Schizosaccharomyces pombe: one gene and its partners. Changing the gene in region 1 together with any one later gene gives a genetic interaction. Each region holds a gene or a part of one and is shown in the gene's direction. Other genes may lie near its edges.

Region 1 (3,957 bases):
CAAATAATATTCTTTTTTCAAAAAACGAAACAGCTTGAAAGAAAGGCGTGGAAGGATCAGACATCAAAACAAGGAAAGGTCTTGATTCAATGGAGTGATTCAGTGGAGTTAAAGATAAGTCTTGTCCTGTCTTACCAATGATACCATAGGACAAAGCCTTACCAATATAAGAAGGATGTTCACCAGCAACACCGAGCCAAGGAGTTGCCAAAGTTACAAAAAACACAGGGTGAATAGCCTGAAAAAAGGCACCGTGCGTTTTTGCATGTACATAACCAACAGCATATGTTTGAACCAATCCACCAAGTGAGTGGGCGACAACTGATATATGGGAATATCGAGGAAAAGATGCACTTCCCCAGCCCGTAATATCCAACAGCCATTCACCAAGTCGTTTACCCAGCCAGCGAACCCCTTTCTCAGTCTGACAGTAGTTACCGGTAAATCCTCGAACAACTACTAGTTCCTTAACAGATTTTGATGATTCTATTAGTTTTTCTTTTAAATACTCCATATCAGCACCAACATTAGAATGCATTCCATGAGTTAGCACCACCAAATGTGAATTCTTTGAATGAAATGAAGAATACGGAAGACGCCATAAATTTTCCGGAGTTTGATGTTCAACGTGTAGAGCAGGGAATGCATGAAGAGTATCGATATCAGCAGCTGACATGGCTCGAATGGAATGTTGAGATTGCGATATAGCAAGCTCAAAGTTAATAGATCTATCTTTAAAAATCGCCTGACTTGCAATTTCAATGTAAATAGGCTGCTGATTGGAAAAACATGAATAAGGTACACAGACCCAAAAACTAGTAGAGGGCTGTACCTGAGGATCAAAGTTTAATAAAGAATTTTTTTCATCAAAAAATTGGTCATTCCAAACGCTAACGCATAATGTAAATGGACCTTGAAGATAGGCTGCCTGGCGGAAACGTGCTTCTCTATTCCTGACACGAATCCAAAGTACCGAGTTAGTCGAATTTATGAAGGGAGCTGTAGAGTCGCTTCCTGCCAAGGGATTTTTTACTTCACGAAGATTAATAGAAGAGAATGAAGTACCTACAGAAGGAGAAGAAGAGGTATGAGAGACACCTCTTGTTTGTTCAGGTATGTTGATTGCATTGGTATTATCTGTAAACGCACCAACTTTATGATAATCTTTTGAAGAAGATGAAAAATCGCTGGAAAGAAGAGGTGAGGATTCTGAATTTGCATGCTTCGGATTCGTGCTACTATTATTCTCTGAGATTTGCTTGCTGATATTCTCCCCACTAGAGATTGTCATCCCACCTGAACCTGCTCTATCCTCGATGCTACCACTCTCTTTCTTAGTCACTGAATTGAGGTTCACAGTGGGGGGCACAGTTGTAGAAGACGTTGCCGAATGCAAATTGCCCCCACTCTGCACAAAAATTCGAAATCGATGTATTTGACCTAAACCAACTGTACCATGCCAATGTTAGAACAAGTATTAAATATTTATATGCCATCCCAAAATTTTTGCATCGAAACAAGCATAACAAATCGAAACTTTAAATAACGAGCTGATAATATCAACTTGCAAATACAATTTAAAGGAGTGGTAAATTTTGTTTAAAGTAACTTACCGTCATCTCGTTGTACATATACATTCATAATGTCAGAAGTCAAGCGATGACAACTCAAAAACTAGTAAATCTGAAAATTAGCTATTCGTGAAAGGTGAGAGATATCAATTATTTTTCAATACCGGTCAACGAATAGGGATAAAATTTTATCTGTTTCAATTAGTAAATCGCTAGTTGCTCATATCACGTAAAAAGTAACGCGAATTTATCAGTGTCCTACCGGTAAAATTTGTTCGCTCGATTCCTTTGTTAGACTAGCTGTTCGACGAACCTATATAAACTCAGTTTTTCTAATTTTTGAGCAAAAGCAAAAATCGAACGACTTCACGGGAAATAAAGCAAGATGGTAAGAGATGCATAAAAAGCTTTCTTTAATGAAGAAGACACCAAAATTGAGTCCTTTGCTAACAATTAAAGTCGTATAATGGAATTGGATTACCCACTCCAAGAGGATCAGGAACAAATGGATACGTAATGCGGAATCTGTCTCACGTAAAAAAATATGACAAAAATACAAATCTACAGTCAAATCGAAATGCAAAAGCTCTGGAAAAACGGGTTCAAGATCCTTCAATAAGCGAGCATGAATGCCGTCGACAAATTGAGTCGAAGTTGTTGTTGTACAGAGAGCAGTTGTTGGAGGAGGTCAGTTCCCAACACAGCACTGATGCAGCGGCATCTGATTCCAATACAAATTTTGGGACTGAAAACCCGAAGCCACCTAAAGCAATTATAAAAGATGAGCAATCACAATCGAAAACTAAATCTTTAGATGAAGCTGATGTAGAAATTTTAGTACAAAAATATCGAGAACAGTTACTTAAAGAATTGCAATTACAAAAATCTACTGAAAAAGGAAAAAATTTTGAATCCATTCTTCAACCTCAGAAAAGAAAAGAAACAAGAGGATTTCACTCGAAAAATGACGATGATGGGCGATTAGAAGAAAGAGACGATTTGAGATCATCAGTTGACGATGATTATTATGATTACCCGCGTTATTCCGAGAGGAAATCATTAAATTCAAAAAGGCATGTGGACAATTACAATGAAAATAGAAGAAGACATTACGATTCGTATTCCTCCTACGATGAATTAGAAAGACGACGGAGTAGTAATGAAAGTTACTCAAGGCGTTCTGAATTACCCAGAAGAGATTATAATAGACACGATGAACGGGAAAGGTATTCTTATCATAGAAGGAGAGAAAGAAGCAATTCACCCTCCTATACGAAGAATGAGTCAATTCCTGTTGTGGACAGGGATTCCTCTCCTGAGGGTGGCGAAATTGTATGAGGCCCAAAGAGTTAGGCCAGTTAAAACAATAATATAATAGGCAATTCATGCAAGCATGTATTGTTTATTAATATTGGATAATTATTCGGGTCATCAACAATCGTTGGATTAATATGAATATTTGGTTAGCAATACACGTTAGTCAAATCCCATGAAGCACACGACTGTTCAATGATATAAAAAATATTATTCTTCAAAGAAAAAATACTATCGACTTTATATTAAGGCTGTTAAGTTGCACGATTTAAACATCATTTGATATTTTTCTTTTTCACGGAGGGATAATGAAGCAATTTTAAATTTACAATTACGCTTTTACATTTGTATTTTAAATTCATTAATTAAGCATAAAAGAATCTTTTTAATAAAGATTTTCGAGATTATTCACGCGATTTTAGTCAAAGTAGCTCTTGGCGGCTTTGTTTTCCTGCATACTGTAAATCTCAGAGCTTTTATACCAATAATGTTTATTATATATATTTTACAAAATGAACTTGCTTTAAAGCAATATTAATTATATAATAAAACCAATTTATAAAAAAAATTATAATATAAGTTTAATTATAAATAATACAATTTTTATTTTCTGATGATCTTCGGATCACTTTGGTCAAATTGAAACGATACAGAGAAGATTGTAAGTAACAATATTTACCAAGGTTCGAGTCATACTAACTCGTTGTTTAGAGCATGGCCCCTGCACAAGGATGACACTGCGACATTGAGAGAAAACCCATTTTTTTTTCTAAACAAAATTAATCATACATTCAAATCTTGATTTCCAATCGCTTTAACTTTTTTAAAATAAATATCTATTGTTTCATATAACTTTCAATTTCCTAGATACTACAGTACATTAAACACGTATTACAACTTCTTGCTAAGTCGCAAAGCATTAATTAATTAGTTTTCTGTAGATAATTGAAAAGAAAAAAAACATTTTTTCATCGAAATTTTTTATTGGACAGGTAAATATATTTAACGCGATTACTCTATCGAAATCTGAATTAAAAACTAGTTAAAAATTTTCGACTAGCTTGTTTGTTAC
Region 2 (4,198 bases), on another chromosome or scaffold:
GTTCATTCTGCCTCGTTTGACATATCAGACGGAAGTCAAATCAAAGTGGATTTAAATTATAAAATAACTTGAAGTTTCATTTTATCATGTTTGCAGATTTTATTTACATTTCATCTCCACATTCCAATTGTATGCACATATGCAATACCCACTGTTACTGGTTCCTTTCTTAACGAAAATTATCGCCGCATACTAAAAAATATTTAATTTGTTTATTGTGACTGTAAATTAATTTGTGTTTTTAGATCTTTTATCGGGTTTCTTCAGGACGGGCTTGATGACACTTCGATTGTTTACAGAATATATCTATAGTTAAATTATTTAAACAACATTAGCAAGTCCAACCTATAATAAGGAAAATAAGCTCACTCTGGAAGTTCTACTGGTTTGGCCGATAATGTTTTTAGCAACATGTAACAGCGTTTACTATTGAATTTGTTTAAATTTCTTAAATACCATTTTGATCATAGCAATTCTGTTCGGTTGCTTATAATATTGCTCTAAATTATTTTTTATTTCACTTACTTCTTCTGCGTTTTATTTCTTGCTGACTGTAAATATGGTTAAATTGTTTTCAAAAACAAAGTATCAAATTTTTTTTTGTGCTTCTTCAGCGGACAAATGAATAGTAAAAACTGAAAGCGTGCTTTTTTGTTGGTAATAATGTTTGATTTACTCTTTTTTTTTTTTTTTTTTTTTTTTTTTTTTTGGCTCAGACCTTCTTGCTCATAATGATCTGGGCCATAGTACATCAATTTTCGAAGACAGTAATAAAGCAATTAAAAAAAAAAATTTTCGCCATTGATTCAAACTCACATCAGTTATCAATTAAAAAATTTCTTTACAGTTAATTTCTGCTATATTATTTTATTGAACCTTTTTAAATTCATTCAACCATTACGGAAGACACTAAATTTCCTTAAAGAATGAGTTCTGAGCTAAAGGATCAGTGGCCAGCTTTAAGAATAAGATATATTACGGCAAAGTTTCAGAATTATCTAAATATAATTTAATATAAATACATTTAACGATTATATTATGTATAGTATTATAATCCAATTAATTAATGGTAGCATATAATGACACGCAAAAGGGCTTAGTGAAGTCTTGCTGCTGACAATAAAGTGCATATAATGTTAGCTTCGCAGTTTGGTATCTGATTTAAGGATACATAGAACTGCGGTGAGTTTTCCTTGTGATCTATTATATTACAATACACAGGTTGTATGAGTAGCAACTGAGTATAGGTATTGTATTAACTAGGTTATAATGTTACCTATCACTAATATATCTTATAACTGAACTGAGGGACGAGGTTCAGTTGTTCTCAATTTATAATATTTGAAGTAGTAAGAATTATATCTGATAGTTATCTTATCATGAATGATATTATATCTCCATCTTGATGACTTATCATGTAATAGTTGATAGAGCAAATAGAACATTGTGAACATGTGACATATAGTGATATGCAACGTGGAGTATCATTGCGTAGTGTAGTATTGCTGACAATAACGAACTAAACCAGTATATTGTTATCCTACGCTAGCACCAGACTCAGCTGAGTTTACCAAGTAGGGCGATGCGATGAAGCAAAAGCATTCATTGCTTTAACCATGATAGAATGTCGCTTGAATTACCAGGAAACTACCGACTTTCCAGGCTTAAATCAATACAAATAAGAAATGTTCAAGAAATTCAAAATCATAGCAAATTTGCGATCAATACGACGGAAAATTTGTGGAAACGAGATGTGCAGTTAAAACGTGCAATTTCCGAAGGAACTATTCGTATTTTTATATCATTGCATGTGCAGAGTAAGAAATTGCCTGTTTATATTACTGAAACGAGCGGAAATGCTGTATGTGAACATGCTTTGATAAACAAAAGTATCTGAATGGTATCATTATATCTAGGTTATTTGCTTGATTGAAAAGGTTAATCAGTTTGTTTATACAAGTGATTTGCCAAAATTTCGTTGCTCAAATCCTTGAAACAAAGCCCTCAATTGATAGTTTATACCTTGTATCTCTTTTACCCATATACAAATTTTGTATGTATTTATGTTCTTTGTGTCTAACCTCTCATTAGAATCACATCTTTTACGTCGATGAAAAAGTAACCGAAAAGCTTCAAAAATACCGTCACGAAGAGTACTTTATCGTGAGGACTTGGTGCTCATCAAGTAGTCATGCCTTCAAGCTACATAAAGAATGGAAAATTTTGAGATATGACAGTAATTTTCGTTATATTGGTAATGATGTACGGTTGAATATTTTTGGTTTACCTTATGTTTCCCTTGTGTTGACTAACATATTATTTGTAGCCTGTTTTTGCAGTTTGTCATATTCGAAACGGTCTTTTATGTGAATTTAATGATGGCGTTTACATCTACACAACATCCCAGTCTTCGGATATTATGAGACAGACCTCCTTTCCAAAAAGTGCCTCCACATATTCTATAGACAGGCGGAAGGATGGTTACACTATTCAGAAAATCACTCGAATTTTGAAACTGGCTGAATGCATAGATGAAATGCACATTGCTAAACATGAAATTCGAGCTCATTTTCAGGAGGAGGAGTTTCAGCAGATACGTTTGATGCACAAAAGGATGTTACTTCGGGATGAAAAAATCGATGAACTGGCTAAATTAGAACATCTTTGGCAAAAACAAATTAATAGCATCACTCAGATGAGGACGAAATTTGACAAGACGAAAAGCTGGTTATCCTCAAAAAGGAACACTTTGAACAAATCCAAAGAATCCCTTCAAAAAGATGAAGCTGAGTATGTGGAACTTGCCAATTCTTTAAAAACAAAAGTAGAGACCAATATAGAGATTCGAATCCTTATGGCACATGCTATTCGTATGCACGTTTCCCATCTTTCCAAAATTTACCCAATCCAACCATCGCCTGGCAATCATGACGAGTTTACAATTCGCAATCTCCGCCTATCTTTTGAGCCAGATAAAATTAATAATGTGGAAATGGCTGCTTCCATAGGATTTTTGGCGCATTTACTTCAAACTCTTTCAAAGTATCTCGAAAAAGAACTCGCTTATCCAATTCTTTGCGCATCTTCGAGATCCTCCATCCTGGATACATTGACACCCGACATCCCCACGCGTATCTTTCCCCTTTATCCAGCAACTCGACCAATTGAGCTTTTTGAACATGCCATTTATCTTCTCAACCAGGATGTAAATGATTTTTTAGAAACTTTTGGATTACCTATTGACCAATCCATGGACATACTCAGGAACTTTAAAAAACTGCTCCAATTTATTTTATCAGGACAACATCTATCTTTTGTACAAGTAACGTCTACCGCTCCTTAACAATTCCATAAGCTTAGGCACCATAAGCCTAAATTATCGTTAATTGCAAAACTACGCATAACTTGTCTATCGTTTAATTGTATCTTTTCACCCTAGTTTACTCTCAACAATCAATTTCGTTTTCGTATTCTTTGTTGGAAATTCATATACCCATTTCACGGTTTAATTTTAATCATCTTAATGAAGAGTTTTTATGGACATTTGCCGAAGGCATATTACTCATTGTCATTGCGACAACTACTATACAATGCATTTACGTTTAAAATATAAAAATAAACAGATAATGATGAATGTAGATATTATAAATAGTTCCCTTAAATTAATAAAACTTGTGAATTAAAAAATAAAAAGAGCCATGTTCATTTTTTGATAGTTATGTGATGGTGATCGAGCTCTTCCGGTTACATCCGACCCACATATTCTAGGTATAGGCAGGCGGAGCGGGTCCTACACTTTCAAAAACTGGCGGGCATTCTTCATCCCAACTAATACCTAAACCAGCTGGCGTGGTAAGTGGCTGAACGACTGATACTCGTAAGATACGGGCATTGCCCATATTGTTTCCCGCAACGTTCTTTTTTCTATTAACAATGGTCTCAAAAATTAAATGATGAGAGACTTTTAAGGAAAAAGGGGCAGGAATTTCCACGTCACAGCTTGGCTCTCTTAAAGAAGATGTGTTAATTTGAGTAGATAGAAACATCTGATTATCAATGAACTTCCATCCCGATTGTAAATCTTGTGTACTCAAAATTCTTTTTTCTTCAATAGGTCGAGGTTTTACCAAATCACGATGGCGTTCACATGGTTGACAACTAAACTGCATATGCTCCTCCAATCTCCAAGTAACTCTAT
Region 3 (5,005 bases), 1.7 Mb from region 1:
GAATTAGAAATGCCCAAATATTACCTGCTAAACTGCAGCTGATGGAATGATAGAAATTTAAATGGAAAAGTCCAAGGGAACAAATAACCAAATTTATCCATCAACCTCCATGGTAGTAGATGTATCTCTAGGAAGTTGTTCAGTAAATTTTTCTGTAACCGCATCACAAAGGTCAATCAAATCATCGAGCCCTTTTCTTAAAACATCTACAGCGGTTGTTGAAGCTTGAATTCGTTAGTTGAGTTTGTCCCAAAATATTATTAATCAAATCTATAAGTTAATATTTCATTCAATCACTTACGTGCTGTCTGAATTCGAAAATTCATTTTTGCTTCAGATGGATGTGGGATGGAGTAACCGCAAAACTCAACCTCAGGACTGAAAACATTAGTGTTAATATATGTTTACAATTTAATATCAATTTACTTTTTCATAATGACATAGCGAAGAGAATTGCCTAGCGTATGGTCCTCTTTTTGAATTTGAAATGTCACAGATGTAAGATCAGCAGAATGACCAGGAAGCTATAACTTTAGTTAGCATATTAATTGAAGGAACAATGCTAAAGAAAATCAAATCCTTATGCCAAACACATACGATAATTATTTTTTCAGTTGCAGATTCCATAGCAACTGAGCTAGGATCTGTTACGTCTGTCATTGCCGCCATGTCTAAAGTTTATTTTATAAAAAAAAGAAAAGATACAGCGAAACTTCTATGCAAACAGCAATATTTGGCTCTTTACAAATTTTCTAACGCTGCTCAATTTCCAAAGGAAGAATCCGTATTTAGTGTAGGTTAACGCATATTTTTGCAGAGATTTTAGCGTATGATCCTGAAGCAACAAGAGGCTGCGTTAAATCGTTGACAGGTAAAAAATACAAGATTTTGTTGACGAGTCAATGAGTTTCAATTTTAAAGTATTTTATCAGTGTTTGCATTATTTAGTCAAATAACTGTAGTTAAGCCTATAGCTTTACAGAAATTTCATTGTCTTTAGACACTCACAAGTTATATGTTGACAAAAACCCCATACAAATGAGCAACTAATCATCAAACTTGATTGCTGCCGTGACTTTAGTATAAGCATTTATTATACAAAATGTTTACAAAACTATGATCAATTTTTTTTTGTAACACTATTACTGTTAAAAGAACCACTGGCTGTTTTGCATGTTGATTGTTTACTGTATAACTCTTAAGCCGAACCTATTGAAGTAAATATAAAACATATCATAAATGAGATTATTCCAAAGATATTTTTAACCATCATCGAATATGGCATTAGATAGAAGAGTGCAAGTACTAAAAATCTCATTGACATTTTTTTAAATAATATGCTGGGTTTTTATATGTGTTTGACATTTTAAATAATTGATTTTACGATACTAGCATCAATAAGATTTCCAGAAGATACATTTGATTGCCGGTTCTTCATTTTTTATTTTATTTATTTATTTTTTTTAAATCTATATTTTTGCGACAGCTATCATATAGCAATTGTTTCAATAAGCCATTTTTATTCAGCATAATCACAAATAAAAAACTTTCCAATAAAAAGTATAAATTTCCTCAATTTATAATTTATTATACTTCATCATTTCTAATTAAAGTACTTTAAAAGAAAGAATATATTCAGAAAATATCACTGTTAACTAAGTAAAATTAATATTTATTATTCGCCTCGCCAGTACTGGTAATTGGTAATTTAAAGTTAATGTGTCGTAAGAACCGTGTCCTAGTATTTAAAAATCATCTTCTTTGTTTGTTTGTTGCGTATTAATAGTTTTCTATTGAACTGAAACAATTTGAGAAGCACACTCGTTTGTAGCACAACTGTTCGCGGACGACACTACTTTTCAATAAATGTGCCAGATTGATTAATAGTTTCAAGTCTCTATTAAATGATCAATTCTTTGAAAAAGAAATTTAGTTTTCTTTCAATTATAAAGTATTTTGGTGAATTGCAACTAAATCGCTGCCTCACCTTTCATCTCCAACAAAGCCATAATCGCAATGAACCTTCAATTTCGGTTATATCTCTTATTTATTCTTCTATTTATATCATTTGCTAATGGTAAAAATGAGTATGAAGATAAATCTACTTCGATTATAGATTTACTGTCTTCAAAATCTCAGTTTTCAAAATTGATCAGACGGTTGCAACGCAATCGTCTGGTTCCTTATTTAAATCGAAACAAAGGACTTACACTTTTCGCGCCTTTAAATGAGGCTTTTCCTGATGATTCGATTGAGCCCAATTTGTTATATTATATCGTAAATACAACAGAACTTGATAGATCGGTGTTGCGTACTCAATTGAAAAGCTCAGACGGTCAGCAAATCGCTTTAAAAATTCATTACAAAGCAGAAACTGGTAGGGCATATGATAAAGTCAACAATGCACAAATAGTTCAATCGAATTGGCGTGCTGACAGCGGCGTCGTTCAAGTCATCGATAACATTATAGATCTTCCGCCTCCAGCCCTCGAAATATTAAGTTCTGAGAAAGATTTTTCAATTTTTCATCGTTTATCCGTCGCTTGGGTTGGTGAATATTCATCTGTTACTATGTTAGTTCCTGACTCGTCTGCCTTTTTAAACGTGTATACCAATACGGAATTGGCATATTTGTATTCAATGTATGCTGCTGAAGACGTTAAAACACTCATCCATCAACATATATTGGTTAATCAAAGGGTTTATGCTGAAGATGTTATAGAACCGAAGACTTTTCATTATAAAAATGGGATTTCCATCAGTATGAAGTTTGATAAGGACCAAAAAAAGTTGTTTATTAATGATGTTTCCACCACAAAATATGATTTATTGACTTTTAGTGGAGCAATTCATACTGTGTCTTCACTTATCAATCCCGAAATTATAAGTTTTACTCCTGCAAAATACCTAATAGGAATTGGGGCTGCTTGGTTTAGCGAGAAGCTTTCGAGAGAAAGGAAATCTATATCTGTTGATAAAACAAGCAAACGGGCAATTTTAGCTCCTACTAATTGGGCTTATCGAGAAATCATTGATATTGATTACCATATAATCGAAAATTTTGATCTACCAGCGCCTAATAAGTATGCATTGTATGTGACAAATATCAAATCTGGAAATTCTGTGGGTGAAGACACTAATGCTCTTGTCCGTATTGCTACTGGTTCTGCTGGAGAAATGTATGTTAATGTGGAGACGCGCAGTATTCAATCAGAAAATATTGGGAATGTTAGTCTATATGTTTTAGACAAAGATATAGAGCCTCCGCAACCATTACTTTCTCAGCTTATCCTTGTGGATGAAATATCTTTCAGTGTTCGGTACCTTGCCTCATTGGGTTTGGGTGATTATACCAAAGTGACCTGGTTTTTAGTAAAAAATAGTGCATGGACACAATTAGGTCTTGTTCATCTTGTTTTGCAACAAAATTTGGAATTGCTAGAAAGCGTCATGCTTGACTATGCATTTGAGGGGATAGCTTTCTATGGTTCAAGCGATGAGGCATGGGCCAGCGGGAACTATACTACACTTTCCAATAAAGAGTTTTTAATCGAAGGTGTATATGAAGACTCAAACTCACGTAACAAACGTGATTTATTGAGGATAAATAATGAAATTTATGAGGTTCAAACTCGGGACTTGTTAGTGAAAGATGGAGTGGTGCATTTAGTGGACAAGGTTAAATTACCATTTTCGGTTTCACAAAAGGACATGATTATTGCCGGAGGGAGAAAAGAGTTTTTGGAGCTTCTTGATAAGTTTGAAATGTTGGATATGTTAGACAGTGGGTATCCGGTTGTTGTTCCATCTTTAACAGGTTCTGATGTGAATACAAAAGACTCTAGTTTTGCAGAAAGGCATATAATTGATCCTGAAAAGCGCAATTTTGTAATTTCTGGTTCCCGGTTATCTGTGGATAGTAGTCCTTGGATAAGCATTCAGGATTACGGATATTCAGAACTTGGCAATGTATACTTTGTGCAAAACGCGATTCCGACTAAGAGGCAAAATCGTTGGAGAATAACTTTCATTTCTATTTCGGGACTATTACTGTCTGTTGGAATTTGTGTACTTTGTTATAAAATTTATTTTAAATTTTTCCGTAACAGATTTATGAATCAAGGGGAACGGGAGCCTTTGCTTGCTCCTGCAGATTCTGATACTATGGCGGGAAGACGAAATTCTTCGTCTTTATCCGTATAGAACTACAAATATAATGACCTATGTTTAAATTTCTTAACGTTCATTGTTGAAAAGATTATGCTAGTTTACATTTTTTTATGCTCAATTAATTTTATGTATTATGCTTTCGGAAAATGGTTCTACTCTTAGTATAATTACCATCTTTAAGTATTGGATATTTTTTTAACCTATCAAAAAAAGCCTTTCGTCTGTTTTTTGAAAGACAATGATTCTCATTCATTCGATAATTCTTACATCCTTTCAAATTTTCATTTAAATATTAATTAAAGTCCATCATTTTACGAGAGGGTTTGAAGAGTAGCTATGATAAACAATTGTGTGTAAACAAGCAAATGGAAGAATAAAAAATCGAGATGATAGCTTAAAGACTTCTTAATGACCGTTCAATGGCTACTATCATCTCCACATTAAGTATTAACTAACACTGTTAAATGCTCCAAATGGCACATCGTATTCTATTCTATAAATGTAAATTATTACCCTGAACAATATATATTACGTTATTTATTATAACGCAGTTCAAAACATCATAAGACTATTACCCTACCCTCAAAAAAGGACAGTCACAAATAGCACTTTGAGAACAACTAATTTTTACGAAACCAAACTTCTCCACAATGGCAGTTGGAAAAAACAAGAGACTCTCCAAAGGCAAGAAGGGAATTAAGAAGCGTGTCGTTGACCCCTTTTCCCGTAAGGAATGGTACGACATTAAAGCTCCCGCCTTCTTCGAAGTTAAGAACGTTGGAAAGACTCTTGTCAACCGCACAGCCGGTCTAAAGAATGCCAATGACTCCCTCAA

The links. A genetic interaction does not mean that the proteins touch.
Region 2: mutations in cwf21 (region 1) and vps38 together harm fitness more than expected from each alone (negative genetic interaction), as found in Schizosaccharomyces pombe (one large-scale study listed by BioGRID).
Region 3: mutations in cwf21 (region 1) and fsc1 together harm fitness more than expected from each alone (negative genetic interaction), as found in Schizosaccharomyces pombe (one large-scale study listed by BioGRID).

What each region holds. Positions count from the first base shown.
Region 1 is NC_003424.3:2,561,963-2,565,919, reverse strand, and holds cwf21 (protein Cwf21), read left to right. Parts: upstream 1-1,669; 5' UTR 1,670-1,956; coding exon 1,957-1,959; exon of another isoform or gene 1,960-2,030; coding exon 2,031-2,909; 3' UTR 2,910-3,443; downstream 3,444-3,957. Other genes in the region: rog1 (lipase), read right to left, coding at 1-1,449, 1,614-1,641. UniProt on the Schizosaccharomyces pombe protein: Involved in pre-mRNA splicing. May function at or prior to the first catalytic step of splicing at the catalytic center of the spliceosome. May do so by stabilizing the catalytic center or the position of the RNA substrate.
Region 2 is NC_003423.3:1,804,638-1,808,835, forward strand, and holds vps38 (phophatidylinositol 3-kinase complex subunit Vps38), read left to right. Parts: upstream 1-1,593; 5' UTR 1,594-1,624; coding exon 1,625-1,861; intron 1,862-2,091; coding exon 2,092-2,262; intron 2,263-2,326; coding exon 2,327-3,343; 3' UTR 3,344-3,680; downstream 3,681-4,198. Other genes in the region: arrestin-related substrate adaptor Any1, read right to left, coding at 3,765-4,198. UniProt on the Schizosaccharomyces pombe protein: Involved in endosome-to-Golgi retrograde transport as part of the vps34 PI3-kinase complex II. Mediates the interaction between atg6 and the pik3-ppk19 core complex, leading to the recruitment of atg6 to the membrane.
Region 3 is NC_003424.3:898,765-903,769, reverse strand, and holds fsc1 (fasciclin domain protein Fsc1), read left to right. Parts: upstream 1-1,999; 5' UTR 2,000-2,016; coding exon 2,017-4,203; 3' UTR 4,204-4,487; downstream 4,488-5,005. Other genes in the region: DNA-directed RNA polymerase I and III subunit Rpc19, read right to left, coding at 94-224, 302-378, 427-524, 598-669; rps102 (40S ribosomal protein eS1), read left to right, coding at 4,821-5,005. UniProt on the Schizosaccharomyces pombe protein: Required for the fusion of autophagosomes with the vacuole.